Linked DNA regions of Canis lupus familiaris. The protein of the gene in region 1 interacts with the protein of each later gene in a pairwise test. Links are inferred from orthologs where the notes say so. Each region holds a gene or a part of one and is shown in the gene's direction. Other genes may lie near its edges.

Region 1 (3,576 bases):
AGACACAGAGACATAGGCAGAAGGAGAAGCAAGCTCCCTGTGGGGAGCCTGATGCAGGACTCTATCCCAGGACTATTATTAAAAAATAATAATAATAGTAATAATAAAATTTAAGAAATATTCAGGGCAGCCCTGGTGGCTCAGCGGTTTAGCGCCGCCTTCAGCCGGGCCTGATCCTGGAGACATGGGATTGAGTCCCACGTCAGACTCCCTGCATGGAGCCTGCTTCTCCCTCTGCCTATGTCTCTGCCTCTCTCTGTGTCTCTCATGAATAAATAAAATCTTTAAAAATATATATTTAAAAAAATTAAGAAATTTTCAAATCATGGGTGCCTGACTAAGTCAGAAGAGTTTGCAACTGTTCATCTCAGGATTGTGAGTTCGAGCCCTGTGTTGGATATAGAGATGACTTGAAATTTAAAAAAGATTTCAAATCAGTATGTTGTACACCTGACACTAATATAATATAACATGTTAGTTATACTTAAAAAGTAGTATACATATAATAATGAGTTATAGATGAAAGTCAATTTGAGGGACGCCTAGGTGACTTCGTGGTTGAGTGTCTGCCTTTGGCTCAGGTTGTGATCTGTGATCCCAGGGTTGGGATCAAGTCCTACATCAGGCTTCCTGTGGGGAGCCTGCTTCTCCCTCTGCCTAGTCTCTGCCTCTCTCTCTGTGTCATGAATAAATAAATACAATCTTTAAAAAAAAAAAAAAGTCAATTTGAAACATAAAGGAGAAATTTCAGGCATGTGAATTCTTACCAGTTTTTTAATAGTCTGTTTCGTGATTGCCAGAATTAAATTCCTCAGGTTGTTGAGGAAGTCACAATTGTGGAAGGTTAAATGGATGGCAAATTTTAAAAGTTAAGATCTATGGTCATGCCCGAGTGCCTGGGTGCTCTGTTGGTTAAGTGTCTATTTCTTGGTTTAGGCTCAGATCATGATCTCCAAGACCTGGGATTGTGCCCCATGTTGGGCTCCGTGCTCAGCACAGTCTGCTTGGGATTCTGTCCCCCTCTCCCTCTGTTCCTCCCCATGCTTGAGCTCTCTGTTTCTTTCTTAAATAAATAAAGTACAATCTTAAAAATACAAGGTCATCTTTAAAAAAATAAAATTCATTGAGGATAAACAGCAAGGGAGAAGGGCTCCCTCAGAGAAATGACATGTTATTTATCTCATTTCCTGTCCTAGGTGCTGTAAGAAGCCATCTTTCTGACTTCAAAAAACACCGAGCTGCTAGAATTGACCACTATGTTGTTGAAGTCAATAAATTAATAATCAGGTTAGAGAAGGTAAATTTTGTTGTTTTAAAACTTTTTTTTGCTACAAGTATACATTTTCTAGGAGAAAAAAATATTTCTGCAGTGTTTATTGTGTGTGTTGTATATATTTGACACTGGCAGAGAAATGCCCCACCTCAAGCCCACTTAGAGAGGTACAGAGGACATGATTGACAGTTCTAGCCTGGGCCTGTTTTACTGTAGGAGATGGCCCATGTTGATAGACTTGCCACATATCCAGATTGCCTTATCCTTTCTCTGAAGCCCCCTTGGCTGCCAGAAAACCTTTCTACCTTCAGGTTATTTCCTCTTTTAAGTGTCTAAAGTATAGTCATGCAGTGGGGGCATAGTGTGTGATATCGATAACAAACAGAAGCTGGTAACAAGGTCTGTGAGGAGTACTCAGCCAGGCCAGCATTCAGTATGGGAACATCTGGACTGGGCCTTCTCATCCTGTGGTACCAGGGTGTGTCTTTTAACACCTACAATCACTCTGTTGTACTTTGACCCTAGAAATGCTTATTGTGTATAACCTGGATTGTATGGTGGGCATGGTAGCAATTGCAAGTGTAGAGTAGAAATATGTGGCCAGTTTCATTGTCCATGAGGACTGTGGAGAGTCGGGAGTTCCCCATTGCTCTCAGTTAGCCACACCCACCATATCCTTGCCTACCCCTGGTTATTGCTTAAATGGAGAACTGACAATAGAGGGATTGAAATCAGATCAGGGGAAGGGAACTGCCCTCTATATGAGAAGCTAATACTCTGTCCAATGTGAATTTGCGGGGTTGGGGATGACAGATGATACTTGAGAAATGAAGATGTGAGAATTTTTGCTTGATGCCTCTTGCCTGTGGAATATGTATACATCACCTGTTTAATTCTATTTGGCATTGTTTTCTCCTTGTCAGCTCACTGCATTTGACAGGACAAATACTGAGTCTGCTAAGATACGAGGTAACTCTAGAATTTTGCTCACATTCATTCTAATTATCTTTCTCCCTGACCAAACCTCTTTCTAAAATGGCTAGGTTTTCTGTTTGTTTGATTTTTGTTTTGTTCTTCCCAAAGCAATAGAAAAGTCCGTGGTGCCTTGGGTCAATGACCAGGATGTCCCTTTCTGTCCAGACTGCGGGAATAAGTTCAGCATCCGTAACCGCCGCCACCACTGCCGCCTCTGCGGGTCAATTATGTGCAAGAAGTGTATGGAGCTCATCAGCCTCCCTTTTGCAAGTAGGTAACATGGAGGTGGGGCTGTGGATCCTGATCTATTCTTGTGACTAGCTTGTTTGCTAATCACCACCAGGTGATCTTTTGAATGTTTTTGTTTAAGTAACTTTCCCTTGGGATCTTCATCCATTCATTTGTTGATTCCATGAAGCCTGCTATAGGCCAGGCATGATGCTAGGGTCCAGGGATACAGTGGTAGATAATAAGGGCAGGCAAATTTTTTCTGCCCTTATCAGGCAGAAAAAGATAGTAAATATTTAAGCTTTATGGGCTACAGTGGTCTCTGTGACATTTCTTCTTTTTTTAAATGATTATTTGTTTGTTTGTTTATTTAAAGATTTTATTTATTTATTCATGAGAGACATAGAGGCAGAGACACAGGCAGAGGGAGAAGCAGGCTCCATGTAGGGAGCCTGACGTGGGACTCCATCCAGGGACTCCAGGATCATGCCCTGGGCTGAAGGCAGGCACTAAACTGCTGAGCCACCCAGGGATCCCCTTTAAATGATCTTTTAAAAATATTTTTTTAAGGGCAGCCTGGGTGGCTCAGTGGTTTAGCGCCGCCTTCAGCCCAGGGCCTGATCCTGGAGACCTGGGATCAAGTCCCACGTCAGACTCCCTGCATGGGGCCTGCTTCTCCCTCTGCCTGTGTCTCTGCCTCTCTCTCTTTCTCTCTCTATGTGTCTCTCATGAATAAATAAATAAAATCTTAAAAAATTTTTTTAAATCTTTTTAAACTTTTTTAAATAAAAGTATTTAAATAACCTTTTAAAAATCATACTTAGTTCTGGGGCCATATAAAAGCAAGCTGGACTTGGTTTATAGGTCATGTCTGCTCACCTCTGGTTTATAAGGCATTATTCATTCTCCCAAAGGGTCTAGCATCTAGCCGAGGATACAGACCTAGAAACATATTATGGCTTTATAAAGAGATAAGCACTATGAGAGAAGTTGCATCAGATACCCAGGAGAGCTGACCAGATCGTTGTCAGCTGTGCTTGGAAGTGGCAGCTGAGACTTTTGAGGATATTATAACAGAGTCTTAAGAAATGAGCAGCAGG
Region 2 (3,576 bases), on another chromosome or scaffold:
ACCAGGCTGGACTTTTGTCACTGTTCCTGACCAGTAATGCTGTCCTAGGCCAGTTAGCAGCCTTCCTCCTGCCGTGGGGCCGGTGCTAGGAGCCTGCTGTGGTACCTGATCTAACCCTCCCTGTGGTCATAGGAGGAAGAATTGTTATTTAAATTTTACAGAAGTAGAAATGAGAACTCAGAAGTTAAGAACTTCAGATCGCAGTCAGTGGCCAGTGCCGGGAATTGACTCTAGAGCTGTCTTGTTTAAGAGCCTGTGTTCTTTCTGAGCGCTGAAGTGTGGGGAGAAGCTTGGAATGCTGTGCATTCGGGTACACAGACAGCTCTGAAGCACTTAAACCTGGGGGGCTTTATCCAGAAGGTTTATCCATCCCAGCAGACCTTCACCCCCTAGACATGCCCCAGTGTTGACTTTGGTCTTAAAGCCCTTGTGAGTGAGAGGGGCCTAGTTCTGGCCCAAGTGGAAGCAGCCTCTCAGGGACTCTCCTGTGGACTTGTCTTCAGTCTGCGAGGCTTGGCAGGACCAGGAGCAGCTGAATACCACTCTGATGACCAACTCAGCAGGTTCCTCACCGGCAGGGTGGGGAGGGCTGCCCTCCCTCCTCACAGCACTGTGGTCGCTCTGTTCTTTTATTTGTTCTCTCCTTCTACGTGCTACTTTCCTGTAACCCGCGGTCTAGAGAGTATGTCTCCATCCCAGTTTGGTCAGGAGTAGTGGCGTGTTTTGTGAGGGATGCGAGCTAGAAGCAGGCTGTCAGGGGGAGGAGGTTGGTCTGGTCCCGTTTCTGGGCAGCATCTCGGGCTCTTCTCTATAGCAGCAGCTTCTCTGGCTTACTTTCAGGAGCCTGACTGCACTCTGGGATGAATTTGTGCTGGTTAAGAGGGCTGGCCTATGCTTGAGGTGGCCTGTGGGTAGTGGGTGAAGAACGAGGAGGAGCCCAAGGACGAGGAGGCTTGCCCAGAATTACCCAGAGAGGAAATGGCAGCTCAGGGCCTTCAAACCAAGCTTCCCTAAGACTCTCAGGCTGTGGCCATCACATGGTCTTCCTATCTCTCCTCATCTTTTATTCCTAAAAGGTGAGAAATAGAACCATCACTTCTTCTGGAGGCAGTGGTGAGAAGTAGAAACATTTTAAGAGTTGTGATTATAAAACAGGATACAAACTAAACTGCTGTTAGAGAGACCCAAAAATCCATGGGCTTAAATCAGTTATCAGATCATTTACGTGGAAAATAACAGTCCAAGGCCATCTCTGAACTCAAGGTGGTTGCTCCAGTTCCTACCATCACATCTGCATTCCATTCTTCAGGAAGGGAGAAAAGCAAAGGGCACATAAACTTCTTTTGTTCATCTGCTGCAGGAGAGGCTAGGAAATGTGGTCTTAAAAGGAGGGGCCCTGAATTCAGCTGGAACTAGGCTGTTCTGTTATTAAAGGAAGAGCTCCAGTTAGCAGTCTGTGCTATAGTTGGCCACGTCCACTAAAAAGGGCTTCCAGAGGATGGTGGGAAACAGCATAGAAGCATTTAAGACCTAGAGAGGGGAAGTGGTGTGTCACACTTTCTGGCTTGTCATAGGGCAGGGGCCAGCAAAGTTTCTGAAGGGTCAGAGTTAATATCTTTGGCCTGGGAGGCCTGTGGTGTGTGTCACAACAACTGGACTCTGCTATCTGAGACAAGAGCAGCTGAACAGAGGAGTGTGGCTCTGTTCCAATGAAACTAATTTATGGGGGCACCTGGGTGGCTCAGTGGTTGAGCATCTGCCTTTGGCTCGGGTTGTGGTCCTGGGATCGAGTCCCACATCCAGCTTCCTGCTCAGCAGGGGGCCTGCTTCTCCCTCTGCCTGTGTCTCTCATGAATAAATAAATAAAATCTTTAAAAAAAGAAAAAAACAAAAAAAAACACAACTTATTTACAGAACAGGTGATGGGCCAGCTGCAGTTGGCCAGCCCCTGTTGTGGAGAATAAATGAGGTTCCTGGAAAATGGGGGCCCAGCACAAGCACCCCACGAGTAGCAGCTGCAGGTGTTATGGCTGTTCCTTACTGTCCCTGTCATGTAAGGACATCCAGCCAGCAGGTGGCAGACCCCAAGTCTCTGTCCTTCTCGCCACACGGTGCCGAGCCACACTGCTGCGCTCTCCTCTTCACTCTTGACCTGGTCTGAGCTACTTTAGGGCTCAGACTTTGTGACAACTTTTATTTTTTCCTTTCTAAGATTTTATTTATTTGAGAGAGAGTGAGTGAGCACAAGCGGGGGCAGGATCAGGAGATGGAACAAGCAGACTCCCCGCTCAGCAGGGACCCCATGTGGGGCTCCATCCCAGGACCCTGGGATCATGACCCAAGCCACAAGGCAGACGCTCAACTGACTGAGCCACCCAGGTGCCCCTGGGCTTTGTGACTTCTTTTGCATTATTTATCTGTGGCACACCTCTCCTTGCCAGGTGCTGTATGCGCTAGGGTACCGAGTGGGCACAGAAACGGGGGAGCAGGAGGGTGCTGTGCTGACCCCTTGAGTATGTGGTGGAAATTTAAATAAATACCAGCTTGGGTCCGGGAAGAGAGCCATCAGAGCTGCCTGGCCATGGTGCCCCTGAGCTCACCCTGCTCTTCCCGTAGGTTACGACTTCGCAGCTGTCCTGGAGTGGTTTGCTGAGCGGGTCGACCGCATCATCCTGCTCTTTGACGCCCACAAGCTGGACATCTCTGACGAGTTCTCCGAGGTCATCAAGGCCCTCAAGAACCATGAGGACAAGATCCGTGTGGTGCTGAACAAAGCCGACCAGATTGAGACCCAGCAGCTGATGCGGGTCTACGGGGCTCTCATGTGGTCCCTGGGGAAGATCATCAACACCCCCGAGGTTGTCAGAGTATACATCGGCTCCTTCTGGTCCCACCCACTCCTCATCCCTGACAATCGCAAGCTCTTTGAGGCGGAGGAACAGGACCTCTTTAAAGACATCCAGTCTCTGCCCCGAAATGCTGCCCTCAGGAAGCTCAATGACCTGATCAAGCGGGCACGGCTGGCCAAGGTAGACTAGGAGTGGGGGGCTGGGCCCACTGCTGGGTGGGGCCCACGGGGATCCAGGACTGGCACTTGGGGCTCTAGGATTGGTCTGCTTTGGCTTTTGGGGTGCCCAAGACCCATTCCCACAGCTACACCTGTGTGTGCTGTGTCTGAACGAGTCCTCTCTGCACCAATGGGTGTAGCCCTTGATTCTCAGCTGAGTCTTCTTGATGCACGCAGACATTCAGCGGGAAGGTAGCGCTGTGCCCAGGGGCAGCCTGAGAAGTGGGGTGCAGGCGGGGGTGCAACTCCAGTCCTCACCTCCCAGGCCTGTTGAGCCCTCAGCCTGTGCTGGGGACACAGTGGGGACTGACACACACAGTCTTTGCCCTTCCAGCACTCATTGGTGGCAACGGGAAAGTGAACACGTAAAGAAAAACCAAGCTTGGTTTATTTGTCCTGTCATGGTATGCCATAGAAGCCGGCAACTGGGGGGCCTCAGGTGGGTGACGCTGCATAAGCCAGGACAGGAGGGAGCTAGTGGAAAGATGGGGCACAAGAACCCTGGGTGG

What was found. The genes of interacting proteins can lie anywhere in the genome.
Region 2: the proteins of RBSN (region 1) and EHD1 interact in binary tests that used the Homo sapiens proteins (3 or more experiments, as listed by UniProt). The link is inferred for Canis lupus familiaris from reciprocal best matches to the Homo sapiens genes RBSN and EHD1.

What each region holds. Positions count from the first base shown.
Region 1 is NC_049241.1:5,247,573-5,251,148, reverse strand, and holds part of RBSN (rabenosyn-5), read left to right. Parts: intron 1-1,196; coding exon 1,197-1,297; intron 1,298-2,196; coding exon 2,197-2,242; intron 2,243-2,356; coding exon 2,357-2,518; intron 2,519-3,576. UniProt on the Homo sapiens protein: Rab4/Rab5 effector protein acting in early endocytic membrane fusion and membrane trafficking of recycling endosomes. Required for endosome fusion either homotypically or with clathrin coated vesicles.
Region 2 is NC_049239.1:52,810,881-52,814,456, forward strand, and holds part of EHD1 (EH domain-containing protein 1), read left to right. Parts: intron 1-2,616; coding exon 2,617-3,029; intron 3,030-3,576. UniProt on the Homo sapiens protein: ATP- and membrane-binding protein that controls membrane reorganization/tubulation upon ATP hydrolysis. In vitro causes vesiculation of endocytic membranes. Acts in early endocytic membrane fusion and membrane trafficking of recycling endosomes.